Tamandua tetradactyla: one gene and its partner. The protein of the gene in region 1 interacts with the protein of each later gene in a pairwise test. Links are inferred from orthologs where the notes say so. Each region holds a gene or a part of one and is shown in the gene's direction. Other genes may lie near its edges.

What was found. The genes of interacting proteins can lie anywhere in the genome.
Region 2: the proteins of PADI4 (region 1) and ANXA4 interact in binary tests that used the Homo sapiens proteins (3 or more experiments, as listed by UniProt). The two-hybrid records come from large-scale screens. The link is inferred for Tamandua tetradactyla from reciprocal best matches to the Homo sapiens genes PADI4 and ANXA4.

The regions. Positions count from the first base shown.
Region 1 is NC_135328.1:209,024,272-209,032,874, reverse strand, and holds the start of PADI4 (protein-arginine deiminase type-4), read left to right. Parts: upstream 1-5,173; 5' UTR 5,174-5,242; coding exon 5,243-5,349; intron 5,350-8,603. UniProt on the Homo sapiens protein: Catalyzes the citrullination/deimination of arginine residues of proteins such as histones, thereby playing a key role in histone code and regulation of stem cell maintenance.
Region 2 is NC_135343.1:43,204,278-43,211,854, forward strand, and holds the start of ANXA4 (annexin A4), read left to right. Parts: upstream 1-4,403; 5' UTR 4,404-4,562; intron 4,563-7,577. UniProt on the Homo sapiens protein: Calcium/phospholipid-binding protein which promotes membrane fusion and is involved in exocytosis.

The DNA.
Region 1 (8,603 bases):
GGGCAGGCCATGGTGGCTCAGCAGGCAGAGTTCTCGCATGCCATGCCAGAGACCCAGGTTCAATTCCTGGTGCCTGTGCATGCAAAAGAAAAAAAAAAAGATAGCTTGGCAGGATGAATGTTTTAAAAGCATGACCACTATATGTGGTCCATAAGAAAACTCACTTCAAATATAATGAAATAAGTAGGTTGAAAGTAAAAGAGTGGAAAAAGTTATTTCATGCAACCATTAGAGCATTAAATTGGTTTTATTAATATCAGTGTTCTGGTCTGAAGCTGTTATGTACCCTATAAAAGGCCATATTCTCTTAATCTGTCCCTTTGGGGTCATGCATGTTGTTGGGTGGGAACTTCTGATTAAGTTGTTTCCATGGAGATGTGCCCCAGCCCATTCAATGTGGGTCTCAATCCCCTTTCTGGAGTCCTTCTGAAAAGACAAAAGACAGATGAACCTCTGAGAGCTGAGATGGAACCCAGAGAAGAGCCTCCAGAGGTGAAAGAGAGTCCCTGAAACCAACCCAGGAGCGAAGGATCAGCAGACATTGCCATTGGTTTCCCATGTGGCAGAGGAACCCAGATGCCAGCAGCCTTTCCTCTGAGAAGGTGTCTTCCTCTTGGTGCCTTAATCTGAACATTTTCGTGGACTTATTTACAAACTAATAACCCCCCACTGAAAAAAAGCAACAGCCCATTTTTGGTATATTGCATTCAAACTGAAACAATCAGTAAGGTAGACTTCAGAGCAAAAAATTTACCAGAAGCAGGAAGATTACACAATGATAAAAGGTTCAGTTCCCCAAGAAGATATAGAAACCCTAGATGGGTATGCAGTAAACAACAGAGCTGAAAATTTATGAAGCAAAAAGATCGATCTAGAAGGAGAAACGGATCCACAATTACAGTCATAAAGACTGTGTGACATCGGCAGAGGAATAGATGGTGGATATCGGCAGTGGATCAATAGTACAGTAGAATAGATCTAGAAATATTTTTGACAAAGATGCAAAAGCAACAAAAGTTACTGGGGCAGGGGATGTATCTTAAAACAAATGGTGTCTTTGCTTCAATAAAACAGTGTTTATTGTGCACCACCCATGTACCAAACACTGTTTAGCACTCAGGGTTCAGCAGGCAGCTGAGTCCCTGCTTTCTTTGGTGCTGACATTCTCCTGCCGTGGTCCCTGGGAGCCGGTAGAAGGGATGTGGTCACAGAGGGTCAAGGACAGGGTGAGAGCTGGTACCATAAATTTTTTGCTCTAAAGTCTACCTTATCTGATTGTTTCAGTTTGAATGCAATATACCAAAAATGGGCTGTTGTTTTGTTTTTCAGTGAGGGTTTATTAGTTTGTAAATAAGTCCACGAAAATGTCCAGAACACAGGAGCTGGTCCATAAACACAGGAGCCCTGACCTTCAGCTGGGCTGGATCCCTTTTCCTTTCCTCAGAGACAGCAGAGTGGAAGAGGACAAGATTTGGTGCAGACAGGCCTGCGTTCCATCTCCACCTCTGTCCCGACCTGCTGCCCACCTGTCAGTGGCTGACAAAGCCTCCTTTCTCAGCTGGCTTGAGGTCTGCACCAGCGAGCGCATGTGAACTGGTCCAGGTGGGGCCTAGCCAGTGTGAGAATCATCATTTTGCCTCCATGCACCCAAGGGTGACCGGGAAGGATTCGTGAAGGACAGCAGAGTGAGCAGCAGGGCCCTGCAGGGTATGTGTGCAGAGGGAGAGATTTGCAAGCTTCAGCCAGTCTGGATGACCCTGATGCTCCCAATTCTCTGCTTGAAGTTCTGGTGTTGGAAAGGGAGAGGCGCTGGACGTCTTCATGCTGGAAGGAGCTTCAGAGCTCATTGGCAGAGGGACCCGGCCTGTGGGTGGCTGTGTGATGGGCAGAGCCGGACAAAGACAGACAGGCTTGGGAGTCAGGCGGAGCACAGCTAAACTCGAGCGTCCCCACTTGCTGTCTGTATAGCCCGTGTGAGTTACTAACCCCTCTGAGGCTCAGTCTCCTCACCTGGAAAGTGGGGAGAATGTGGACCTCAGGCGGCAAGGCGGCTGTGAAGAGCAGAGCTGGTGCGTGGCAGGGGCTGGCCCAGGAAAGGGCTGCACCAGAGCAGACAAAGGCAGTTTTGACACTGAGCACCGTGTTACCCTCCTCTGTAGAAATGAGAATGACATTCCTGCCCCACTAGGTTCTGGTGAGAAGTAGAAATAAAACGGGTGTGGCCCAGAGGAGCTGTTTAATAGACGGTGGCCGCCGTCACCTCCCTGAGTCCTTAAATGAGCTTAAATGAGCCTCTTAGAGCATGCCAGGCACCGAGTCCGTGTTTAGTGAATACTTGTGAATGGACACTAAATAAATAATCCTAACTGTACCTGTGGACAAAACGATGCTGAAGGAATGAACGGCCATCAACTCCAAATGCAGCTCTGCACTGTGCTGGGTTTCAGAGGCTTCGGGCAGCCTCTCTGACCCCAGTTGCTTTTCCCGGAATAACGCCCTCGCAGGGACCAGGGGCAGGTGAGCCGGGCTGTCTACATCCAGGATGTCAGCTCAGGTGCTCGGTGACCTGGGCCCAGACACCCAGAGGCCATTGGGCAACCCTCAGAATATCATCCTTCCTCCTGGCCGGAGGCCAGGCCCGTGACTCAGCCTTTCAGCAGGAAGAGGGCCCCTTCCCCTAGGGTTTCTGTCCCGATTCTGAGCCAGTAACCTCCACATGCAGGGGGAATTTTGTTTCCCAACTCTGAGGCTCCCTTCCGGGTTTGAAAGGGTTGACATATTCTGTGAAGTTAACAGCCAGGCCAGGGTCTCAGCAGCCAAAGTAGTCATGTTCGAATAAACCAGATTTGTTCCTCTTCTGTTCAAACCACACCCCCTACCCTCATGGCTCCCCATGTCACTTGGAGGAAACGCCCAAGTCCCCCCCCACCCAATGCAGAGAGAGTGCAGAGAGTTGAAAGTCTCCTGTTCTCTGCACTTCCTCTTCTTCTACTACTCTCTCCCTCCTTCCCTTCACTCCAGCCATACCTGCCTCCTTGCTCTTCCTTGAACCCACTAGGCATATCTCTCTCTTCCTCAGGGCCTTTGCACTGGCTGTTCCCTCTCCTGGAACGCTCGTCCCCCAAATATCCACATTGTCACCTCTCTCAAGCTGTTGCTCAAATGTCACCTGTCCTGCTCACCCTATTTAAAATTGCAAACTGCCCCTTGCCCCCTGCACTCCTGATGGTCCTTGCTCTGCCCTGTTTTCCATTCTCCATAGCAGTGCCCCCCCTAACATACTATATAATTCGTTTATTACGTTTGTTTATGATCGTCTCTTTCTGTTAGAAAATAAGCTCCATGGAGGCTGGGATCTCTGTCTATTTTATTCACTGAATATCCCCAGAGCGTGGAACAGTGCCTGGCAAACAGGTGACACTCTGTAAATCTTTGTTGAATTAACTAACTTGTTTTTGGTGTGTCCTCTTTATTCTCTTAAACTTATTCACAGCAAGTTTAAGCCTCAAATTGCCATAGAAAAAGAAAAAAGGAAACTACTCCAGGAGACCTAAGATGTGGGTAGTTTCTAGCCATCCCACTGACTTGCTGTGACTGTGGAAGTATCGCACACACACCCCCCCTTTTGATTCTCCGTCTGTAGCGAGTGAGGACTGGATTTGGTGTCCTCCAAGCGCCCTCCCAACTCTGACAATTGGTGGTTCCCTCCTGCCAACTTTCATAAGGAACTCATACTAGTTCTAATCACAGGCCAGCCAAGAAGTCGGGCGAATTGAGACTTACACGCACAAGTAGCTGTGTAGACACATCCGAGCATCCGGCTGGCTGCAGTATCTACTGGGAAGGAAAATGGGCTTTGAGCTGAGAGAAGGGGGCTGGATCCTGGATCCCGAGTTTATGGGTGGTGGGAACTTGGGAGAGGGATTTAGCCTCCATGAGCCTTAGGGGCCCTCTCTCTATAAGGTGGCACCATGGTGGGACCCACTTTGTGGGAATGAGGACCTAGGGCAGGTTTTGATTCGGGCCTGCCTAACCCAAAGACCGGCTCTTAATTAAAGAGGCAAACTCTTTGTTTAGATGCCAAAGCAGACAAACACACACAAAATCCCCAATCCCCAAAGGCTCGGTGCTCCTTTCAGATCTCCCTGTGGTGCTCCTGGGTGTTTCCAGCCCTCCTCCCCCATTTTCCCTGCAGCAGGCAGAAGCCTGCACGAACGACCCAGGGGCAACCACAGCCCTGTATCCAAGTGCCTCTGTGGCCAAGCATCCCTGTGGCTGCCATGGCCCTGCCCTGAACTGTCCAGTCTGATGCCCAGATGCCCTGGAAAGAGGCAGCCATCCTGGAGGGTACAGAGAACACCAACTTCTAGGTCAGGAAGCTCGCCTTCTGCTCCCAGCTCTGCCACGCCCAAGCTATGGGGCCTTGGACAAGTCACTTTTACTCTCTGGGCCTTGACTTTCCCTTCTGTAAAATGGGTAGCAACAAGAACAACCCCCAAAAATGGGTAGCAACATCATGCACACATATCTGTTGCGCTGTCATGGAGTAGATACAAAGAAATCTGAAAGGCACGAGTCACACGGACTGACAGCTAATAAATGTCATTTGAACCTCAGTTTTTTCCTCTGTAAAATGGGAATGCGAATGGTATTAATCTCAGAGAGTTGCTGGGAAGATAAAATGAGGAGATAATAAGAGTACCTCCTTCCGAGGCTTTCTGTGATGAGTTAATCCACTCAAATTAAAGTGGGGATTAAAGTGGGGAGAAAGGTGCCTGGACTCAGAAAATGTTGCAAAAGGGTTAGCTGTCACGTAGGCGTCCTGGCCTGGGAGACCTGACCTGACTCTGGTTTGACTGGAGGGTGTAGCCCGGGTTATGCTGTCTTGCCTAGAATCTCCCAAGCCCCAGTTTTCTTGCTTTCTCTTGTTGGGTGAACTCAGGTGAGGTTGGGGCGGATGCAGATGGCCTCCAGGAAGGAATGGGCCATGGGTTTGAGAACCTGGGCCTCTACCACCCCTCCCAAGGCTCCCCAAGCCCTTGGGCCTTCCCAGGAAACTGGCAGCCCTGGGCTGTCCGATTCTGGCATTGACACCTACTGGGTCTGAGGGCTGCTCACACACGCCCTGAAATCTGAGCAGGGAGGGGCTTAGCTTCTGGGGCTGCAAACCACAGGTGCTGACTCATGGCCTTTGCTGGGCAGTATAAAGGAGCCAGTCCAGGGGTTTCCTGCAGCTGGAGGGATGAGCTCCAGGACAATGGCCCTGGGAGCAATGATCCGTGTGGCCCCGGAGAAGCCCACCCATGCCGTGTGTGTGCTGGGTACCAAGACTCAGCTAGATGTCTTCAGGTGAGAGCGAGGACTCCTTGGGGGCCTGGGGGTGGGGGCAGGCCCAGTGACACCGGATGAACCTGTTTTGTTGACACAGGAACGTGTGGTTAGCTCAGACTCCAGCCTCTGCAGATGGTGCCCAGGGAGCCGCTGGGAGAGACAAGAGGCCCTGGGAGGTGCCCAGGCTCATGGGAGTAGGTTCTTTCCCATGTACAATTGGGGGTTCCCTGGGGCCTCACCATAAATAATTATTACAAAGCAAACAGGGCCAACTTCCTCTCGCCTTTATGGCAACAGATGCTCAGAGAGGTTCTGTGATTGCCTAAGATCACACAGCAAGTGTGCTCTGGAAGCAAGTTTAGCTCCTGGGCCTCTTGACCCATCCTTGGTTCATGGTGCCATCTGTTACCCAATCAGCTGAGCAGTCCTCAGTGGGTACACAATGGTGGGCTCTGGGAACCTGGCCCTGCAGTTGGCTAGCTGGGTGACCTCAGGCAGCTGAACCTCAGTTTCCTCATCTGTGAAATGGTGCTGACATTTCACAGATGTTGACTTACTTCACAGGGAAGGTCTAGGGCTTGAATGTGAAAATATTTAAGTACTTAGCACAGCACAGGGCACATCCCTGGTAGTTGTTCTTTGGTTTGTTAGTTTATTCACTCATTCATTCAACAAACACTCATTGAATACCTGCGATGTGCCAAGCTGTATGCCAGACTTTGCAGTAAGCAAAATGGCCCAGGATATTCCTAGGGAGCGTCCATGGGTACTGTCGTTATAGTTGTTGTCAGTAAGAGCAGTGGCAGCCCCTGGCTTCCTCCACCCCAGGCTGAGCCGCTGTGCTCCTAGAATGGCCTTGAAAGTGCCAACCACTGCCTGCTCACCGGCAGTGAGAGAACAGCAGTGTGGCCTCCCGGGGCCAGGGAGGGGAGGTGGGGTAATGAGAGGTGTGGGGAATAAGTCTGACATCATTCGAGGGCAGCCAATTCCTCTGAGAATGAGCTCTTTGATGTTGGATGCAGAGGAGTGAAAAGAGTCAGAGCTAGCTCGGTTCCCTCCCAGGCTAGCCCTCTTCCCTGGCAGCTGCCCAGGCTAGCCTTCTTCCCAGTGTACCCCCTCTCCACTCTCAGGGCTGGACCGAGAAGTGATGGGCTAGGGTCATAAGTGTTTCTTCTGGCTCCAGAACTGGGAGGTAGTGAGCTGGCCAAGACTGGACCAAGAGGGAGACACTGCCCCCTTCTCCCCCAAAAGGACAGGGAACGCTGCAGTTCCCAGGTACTTTAAAATCTTTCTTTCCTTCTCCTTCATCAATTACCAAGTCCTGTCAATCCTGTCTCCTGAATGTCTCACATAATAATGGCTAATATTTACATTCCACTTCCTACATATGACTCATTCAAACAGCCTTATAAGGTAGGTGATCTGTTATTCCTATTTTACAAAAGGGGATACTGAAACTCTGAAAGGTCAAGTAATGACCTGAAGTTACACAGCTAGTGAGCAGGGAAGGCAGCCTGGCTGCAGGACACCCCATCTCCTCGGTCCCTGGACCAACCTTTCCTCTCCCCTCTAATCTGTTCTAACCCCAGCCCCCCAGCCGGTGCTTCTCCCCAACTCCTGCCCAGTCATCACCCTCCCTGCAGGCCAGACTCTCCTCCTAAAACAGAAGGGAGGGGCCTGCCTTTCTCACCCGCCCTCCTTCCTTGGCGACCCCCGCCCCCAGGCCTTGTGCACGCACCTCCAAACCCTTGCTGGGGCTGCGCCCTCTGCCGCCGGGCTCCGGGACCCTCGGGGTTTAAATGACAAGGTCATAGAGGTCAGAACAGACTTCAGCTGGGGCCGGGGGATGGAATGGGGGTTCCTAATCCAAAGCTCCTCTCATAAGCTCTGCTGGTGATCTTAATACTTGGTTTGGAAACTGCTTTCCCTGCAATGGGGAGATGCATTGATTATATTCAAACACAATCCTGCTGACCTTGCACAAGGTCAAGGGCTTACGGGATGCTGGTGGCTGGGGTCAGGCAGGCTTCATGTTCCCAGCTGCCTGGTGTCTGGCCCTTTTTGTCAGTGATTCCTTACCCTTACAGGAATACTATGAGGGAAACAGTTGGATACCCATTTTAGGGTGCCTAAACCGAGCCTGAAGAAGCAAATCCTGTCCAAAGCCACACGATTTAAGACATTTGAAAGCAGGGCCACCTGGCCCCAAAGCCATCCTGCTTCCCCGATGTCATTGCCTCCGGGCACTATGAGGGGTCCCCCTGGGTGCTGCTTCTGGTGGCTGAACTCACGCAGCATCGGAAGGGCTGTGGCATGGTGGGGGCCAGGAGGCACAAACCCCAGAGGACGGGGGGCTCCAGAGCTGCCATCGAGGGGCTTCTCCTCCCCCTCCCAGTCTCGTCCTCAGTAGAAGACCACTTCATGGCAAGGAAGCATGGGCAAGTCTGTTAGTGTCTCTGAGCCTCAGTTTCCCCGTCTGTAATCTCTGGCGTGCTGGGCTGTGGCGAGGATTCAATTATATAACGCAAGCCAAGGGTCCGGCAGAGCAGACCCCTTTCCTGTAAGGGCTGCAGGAGGCAGGGCGATGTAACAGCACTGCAGGCAGCACGTGCAGCCAACCTAGGGTCAGCTGTAGGGAAATTCTGGGGCAGGAGTTAAAGGAACGATGTCACTTGTCGGGGACTCAGATTTTCCGTGTTGCTCTACAGAGGGTGTCAGAAGATTCAGCTGTGGTTTGTCTTGAAATAACACAGGCCTGGGGGCCTGCAAACACACACACACACACACAAAACCCCCACGTCCACGAAAGTTCCTTGCTTAGGGGTGGGGAAGTATGTGGGAAACAGCCAAAGGAAAGAATGCATGTCCGAGACTGGGTCCAGCTGAGCGTCCCTTTGCTCAGCCTCAGTGCCATGTCCAGCAGAGAGGGTGGCTGCGAGGCCTGGAAATGGTGACGATCCCGTCATTTGCATTTGTCTCGCTGCCCCTCCAGAAGAAGCCACTTGAGGCAGGCTTGACCCCACGGTCCAGATGTTGTGTGTCCCTTGGCCCCGAGCCATGGCCTTCCCACTGGTCTTTGATTCCTTTGTTCTTTTTCCTGTCCCACTGGACACAAGGTGTGTCCCTCCCACCAGCACCTGGCAGCTGGGCCTGGCTTATCATTGTGGCTTGGTCAGTATTAAAGAAAACAGCGTGCCCTGGGCCAAGAGAATGAGCCTCCAGGCTTTGGCAGGGAAACAAGGGCCCTTGTGAAGTTTCGGTTTGGCCAAGTA
Region 2 (7,577 bases), on another chromosome or scaffold:
ATGATAGGCAGCTCAGGTCTCATGGTAACTTGGTGGCCCATGGCTAAACATTCAGTTTCAACCAAGGCCCAGTAACAGACTAAAAGCTGTTTCTCAAAAGGAGAGTAGTTATCTGCAGTGGATGGTAAGGCTTTGCTCCAAAATGCTAAGGGTTTGTGTTGTGATTTTCCTATAGGAGACTCCCAGAGGCTCCAGGAAGCATCCTTCTTTGCAACTAACACTTCCAGCACCATTGGATCTGCTGGATTATATGGCCCAGGGGGCAGCAAGCTGGAAATCTCACAGAGCTTTCTTTTGTTTCAGTCCCCACTCAAAACTAGAAGCTTTTCCAGTCACTTGGTAAATGGGCTGGAGTAGCACACCCAAATGAGGAATATGTTGTCTCCAAAATCCAAAGAGGCCAACTAGGTATTGCACCTCTTTTTTGGTCACAGGACAGGCCAGTTGCAACAGCTTATCCTTCACCTTAGAAGGTTTTTCTTGACATGCCCCACACCACTGGACACCTAGAAATTTCACTGAGGTGGAAGGCCCCTGTATTTTTGTTGGATTTGTCTCCCATCCCCTGGCACACGAATGCCTTACTAATAAGTCTGGAGTAGTTGCTACTTCTTGGTTTTCTAGGTCCAACCAACATGATATCATCAATATAATGGACGAATGTGATGTCCTGTGAGAGGGAGAAATGATCAAGGTCCCTGAGAACAAGATTGTGCCATAGGGCTGGAGAGTTGTCCTGAGGCAGGACAATAAAGGTCTACTGCTGGCCTTGCCAGGTAAATGCAAACTGTTTCTGGTGGCCCTTACTGATAGCTATTGAGAAAAAAACATTTGCCAGATCAATAGCTGCATACCAGGTACCAGGCAATGTGTTGATTTGCTCAAGCAATGATACCACATCTGGAACAGCAGCTCCAATTGGAGTCACAACCTGGTTAAGGTTATGATAATCCACTGTCACCTTCCAAGACCCATTGTTTTCTGCACATGCCAAATAGAAGAGTTGAATGGAGATATGGTGAGAATCACCACCCCTGCATCTTTGAAGTCCTTAAGAGTGGCACTAGTCTTGATTCTTGAGAACAATTGTATAATGGTCTGACTTGTACAATGTGATGGTGTGATTATGAAAACCTTGTGTCTGGGGTTCCTTTTATTCAGGGTATGGACGATGAGTAAAAATTATGGATAAAAAATAAATAATAAGGGGAGTAAGGGGTAAAATAAATTGGGTAGATTGAAATACAGGTGATTAATGAGAGGGAGGGGTGAGGGATATGGGATGTATGAGTTTTTTCTTTTTATTTCTTTTTCCTGGAATGATGCAAATGTTCTAAAAATGATCATGGTGATGAATACACAACTATGTGATGATATTGTGAGCCATTGTTTGTACACCATGTGTACCAGTTTAAATCTGTTGTGTGCCCCAGAAAAGCCATGTCATTTAATGCTCATTCAATATTTCTGGGTGGGATCTTTTTTATTGTCTCCATGGAGACATGACTTACCTGAATGTAGGTGGCAACTTTTGATTAGATGGTTTCCATGGAGATGTGTCTCCACCCATTCAAGGTGGGGTTGCTTACTGGAGCCCTTTAAGAGGGAACTGTTTTGGAAAGAGCAACCAGAACTGACAGAGCCGTGGAGATAAAGTTGAGGAAGCCTGGAGAGAAAGCTAGCAGACATCACCATGTGCCCTACCATCTGAGAGAGAAACCTTGAACTTCATTAGTCTTCTTGAACCAAGGTATCTTTTCCTGGATGCCTTAATTTGGACATTTTCACAGCCTTAGAACTGTAAACTTGAAACTTAATAAATTCCCCTTTTTAAAAGCTGTTCCATTTCTGGTATATCTCATTCCAATGGCTTACAAACTAGTACACCATGTATGGACCGTATGTGTGTGAAGACTTGTCAATAAAAACATATATATATATGTATATATAAAGAGTGGCACTAATCTCTGCAATCCCTCCAAGAATACGGTATTGCTTCTGATTCATTATTTTGCTAGGTAGGGGCAGTTCTAGGGACTTCTACTTCGCCATTCCTGCCATAATAGCCCTCACTCCATGAGTCAGAGAAACAATGTGGGGATTCTGCTGGTTGCTGAGTATGTGAATTCCAATTATGAATTCTGGAACTAGGGAAATGACCTCAGAATGGGACTGGGGACCCAGTGGACCCACTGTGAGATGAACCTGAGCTAAAACTCCATCAATCACATGACCTCCATAAACCCCTACTCTGACTGGTGAATGAGAGTGATTTTTTTTTTTTTCACATGGGTAGGCACTGGGAAGTGAATGTGGGTCTCCGGCATGGCAGGTGAGAACTCTGCCTGCTGAGCTACCAATGTCGTTCCAAGAGTGACGTTTTAAGTCTTCTGGAATTAGTGTCACTTCTGAGCCAATGTCTAATAATTCCTGAAATATCTGATCATGTCCTTTTCCCCAATGCACAGTCTCCCTGGTAAAAGGCCGTAGGTCTCCTTGGAAGGCTGGGGGGAAGGTTAACTATAAATTTTGGGGTGGGGTTAAAGGGTCCTTCTGCAAGGGTAACAAGCCCTTCCCTCATTCAAGGGGCTCTGGGTCTGTAGACTTTCCAAGTCTGGAAATTGATTAAGGGCCCATGACTCTCTGTTTTTTGTAACTCATGTTGGACTTCTATTTACTTGACCTAGAATTCTTCTGCTTATACAGCTCAAACAAGAATTTAGTAGAACCTATCTGTTTTACTTCTAGGTACCCCATGATCTACTAGTCAATGCCACAAGTCTCTGTGGGTCAGATTATTTTGACCCCTGTTTTGAGTCTGCTGTCCATTATGGTGGCCACCCCCACCTTGTATGTGGTGATTAACTGTCACCACATGGCTTCTGCTAACTTGGGATCCAATCATTCCCATTGTATTTAAGGATTCCAGCTCAGTGACAACAGTTCCCAGAGTAATATCTGATCTATAGAGAAAAGCGAGTACAAGAACTCTTCAGGGATGATGTAGCTGGTCTCATGAATTTATTTCTCAAGGTCCTGGTGAAAGATGTGTCCTCTGGACATTCCTGAGGTCTTCCATGATAAGCCCACTCTAGCATTCCAATCTTTCTAAGCCTCTGGATCGCCTCATCTACATTACACCAAAGCAGTTCTGGCATTTTGACCTCAGGTAATGTTGACCACCTTTGAATCCGTGTTTCAGCCAACCATCCAAACAAACTGTTAATGCCCTTTCTAACCCCTCAAGCTACAACACTGAATGCAGGGTTATCTTACTGATAGGAAACATGCCTTAGTTGATCATAGATGCAATCAACTGACTGATGATTTAATACATCAACCTTCTGGTTTATCAACCAGCCATGAAATATCCTTGCAGCAATGGTCGGGCCAGTGCTTGCCTGACCAGACAACTGGACATCATCACCTGGCCAAGCTAACACCAGAACCTAACAATTACAGTAGCAAAAGCACAAGAGTGACATATCAAAAGATTATTATATGCAGATATTTTGAAAACAGAAAATGATATCAATTTCCCAAGTCTATAGGATGTCTAAATGAGAAGGAACCTATAAAGATCTCAACACAAATTGAAATCTGTCATGTGTCTTCTTAGCTGCTTTGCAAGCCTTATTATTTTGCTAGTGAGTGAACCTACCTTCTGCCCAGCATTCATAACTACTAATGGTATTAGAGAATTGGGGAATTCTCAAAGAGCTATAAACTGTTCACTGATAGTATAAAGGATCTGCACAATTAATACTTTTTTTCATTGAGTTCTAAGAGGAGAGAAGGGGAGGGACGAGGATAGTAGATTTCATAATGACTCTGAGGTATCTACAGTCCTAGAGAAAATTGTGAATAGACTAGGGGTCTGTAAGAAGTTCCCTGACCCATGCCCTTCTCTTCTTTGGAATTTCTTGTTCCCCGTGACTTCTTCCCCAAAAGCCTTCTGTCAGCACTAGGTGCCCTGGGCCCCTTATTTTACTCTGGACTGGTATCTCATCCTCTCTGCAATGCCTACACTCTGGATCTGCCCAGATCCCTATAACACATGCCCTTGGAGCTTGACTTTCTACCAGGTGACAAGCACGCTGAGAAAATCACACAATCTTTGTCCCTCTCCCTGATCTGCGGGGTCAAGTCCTAAGCACATGAAACCGATTCTGAATGGGATGAAATCACCTTCTCAGGAAAGTGATCCAGCTAGGATGCTTTCAGAGAGGTCTTCTAGGGAAGAAGGCTGAATTTTAAAGTTTTGTTAATGGTGGGAAGTCTGGTCTTGTGTAGCTCAGCATGTTCTGCATTTCATTGCAGATGTTCGGTTTGGAAAGTCCCTGGGCTACTTCCTTTCCGGAGTTCTCTCTCACCATGGGGGTCCTCAGTGGGAGGACAGAACTCATCAATCACATTATCCAAATGTCAAGCTCCTGCTGTGTGACCCAAGGAGAACCTTGCTTGCATCTACATAACAGAAGCTAGGATCCCACATTTTCTGGATAAATTGGGCCAAGGTCATCCCTGCTCCTCAGAGTTCCAAAAGAAGGCTGCTGTTGAAGGTAAATTGCAATATAAATATCACTGCCAGCCCTCCATCTTCTGCATATTCATCATCTACCCTTCCTTCTTCTCTTCCCTGCACTCAGAGATTCTCGGGAGATGTAATTCACAGCCAGGAGCTAAATTATACTTAGCCTTCTCAGATGGTATTTCAGTTATGTCTGGGAAATACTAACCCAGAATTTGAGGTCACTAGGAAGGGTCATAGGATCAGTCAGGTCCGGACTGGCAGAATCATTTGCATGTCTCAGAATCTGCCATGCTTTTTAGCTTTGACTCCAAGGCTTTACACCTGCTGCTTCCCTTGTCTGGAACGCTAGGACACACAGACACGTGTGAATGTGTACATACACACAGCTAAGTGGCTTCTGCTTGTCCTTCAGGACTCAAGTTAGGTATCATCTCCTTTGTAAAGCTTTCCCTGATATTCCAAGTCTGAGCTAGCTCTCCTTCTCCCTGTGTTAGTTACAGACTGTCTTCTAATCATCGATTAATTTTCCAGTTTTTACCAATTGGCATAAGGCTCCTGATTGTTATTATAGTCCCAATGTATCAGGCATATAGTAGGTGATCCATACATATGGTGATTAGGAATCACCAAGGTGATTAGGAATTCATTCAAGGAATGGATGAATTGGCGGTGCTGTTATGGTGTGCTGACTCTCATTCTGCTTAGTAAATGGGCCCCCTCCCAAAATAACCAAGCAGATTGCAGAATATTTCCTGAGAAGGTGATTTCATCCCATTCAGAATTGGTTTCATGTGCTTAAGACTTGACCCTGCAAGTCAGGGAGAGGGACACAAGCAAGACAATTGCCATCCCTGCCTCCAAGGAACTTTCCATTGTTTTGAGGATGATGCTAGTATTGGTAACTTCCCTGGCTGCTTCCTTTCAGCTCCACCTCTCACTGCAGCACTGCCTGGGGGACTACTTTCAGGCAGGCTACTCCAACCTCATGGTTTCCAAGCCTCCTGGCTGAAAGAGGACAGTGCATCGTCCTTGGAACTTCAGGAAGTTCAGGGCAGCTGATGCAAGGTACATTCAGGGTGGAGAGGAGCAGAGGCAGCCAAAGAAAGAAATAAGGCTGGAAGGCTCAGCAGAGGCCAGATCATGAAGGCCCTCCCAGCAGGCAAAGTAACAGATCCTGACGGCAAGGAGGAGCCACAGAAGGAATTTAAACAGGGGAATGACTTGAACAGATGTAATGTTCTTAAAAGAGCCTCTTGCTGCAGTATGGGAAATTAACCAGAGAAGCAATAACATGATCACGTTTGTGAGACTGGAAGGTCACTGTGGTGGACTGAACAGTGTACCTGAGTTAGGACATGCTCTTGGTCTTAGCCTGTATTTAGGCTACACATCTTCATGATGTCACTTCAGCTAAGGCGTGGCCCAACTAAATCAGGTTGGGCTTTGATCTGGGTCACGGGCATCCTTTATAAGCAGGGTGAAAGTCACGTGGAAAGGGAAGCCAGGGGGAGCAGCCAAAGCCAGAAGTCAAAGGAACTGGAAAAGAAAGAAGACATTGCTACCTGCATTGTAATATGACACAAGAGCCAAGGAACCAAACGCTGTCGACCAGCTAGAATCAATTGACCCTGGGAGGAAGCAAGCCTTCTGAACTCTGAAACCCTGAGCCAGCTCCTCTTGTTAAGCCAACCCAGTGTCTGGCATCTGTTTTAGCGGCTAGGAGACTAAAGCAATCACTCTTCAGTGTTTAAATCCTAAATGCAGGAATGTTTCACTAGACAATGAGGACGGATCGAGATCCCTTGGCTTTTTCCAGCTCTTTTACAGAAAAGACCGTATCATATTCCTGTAATCAATTTTTGGTAAGAATGGATACTTTTCACCAGTGATTTGCCAGACATAGTAAGAGAAACAGCAAGATAGGATGGAAATAGAATAGAAATGAAAAAAATCTGAATTCAAATACTAAATGACTTTGGCACTGATCCCTTTGAGTTCTCTGTAAATGGAAATAATAACATTAGACTTTTCTACATGCCTCACAGAAAAAGATATTATAAAGATATATTTTGAAAAATTATATGATAAATGCTTTATAAACTAATTCATAGATGTAAAGTATCATGCTCAATATTCATTCATTTACCAAATTCACATCTTTTCCATCTAAATATGTGGCCTGGGGCAAGCTTGGGGATATAAATATGAAAGTGACAAGCCCCAGGGGTCTATGTTTTACTGGAAATACCAGTGTCGTCAAGAAGTAATTATAATAAAATGGGATAAGTGCCTAGAAAGACACTCAAAGTGCTATGAAGAAACTAGATGTAGATGGAAATAGGAGAAAGCTTCACCAAAGACAAGCTTTTTGAACTGCAAACTCGGGAGATGACAGTAAGGGTTTTCCGGGGCATGGAGGTGGTGGTGGGGATTGCCAGGCAGAGGGACTCTTGTTCTAGTCACCTTTGAACCTGCCGCTTAGCCCACTGTCTCAACCCAGGTGCTTAAGAAATGTTTGCTAAATGAATAAACATCCTCGCTGACTTTCTTCTATGTTCTTTCCTTTGTCCATGGATTTTAAAGTGTGACAAAGCACTGTAGTGTTATTTTCCTAAGGACACTACATTAGAAGCTCTCAACCTTTTCTCCATTTCATCTGAAATGACGCTGTCAACACCAAGCCTGAATAGAAAACTAAAATTGATAATGCCTGTTGAAAAGCACACTGAAATTCAGGCGCAACAGTGGCTGCCCAAGGATTTTAAGGATACATCTGGGGGTGGGATGTGCCCTTCTAGTGCCTCATCTCCCCCAACAAGTCACTTTTTAGGAATTGGTGTTTGCTATGGGCATTTGAAGGCCAGGAGAAGGCTCTGTTTCTGCATCAGGGTTGCAATATATGGTTGTCCAGGATAACCACTGCGTAAGTGCTCCTGGCTGGGGCGGGTAGGGGGTAGGGGTAGGAGGGGGTAGGGCTGAAATTCAGCCTGTTTCCACTCACCAAGCCATGCACCCAGCTGCAAGGTGCCTATCCTAATTGGCA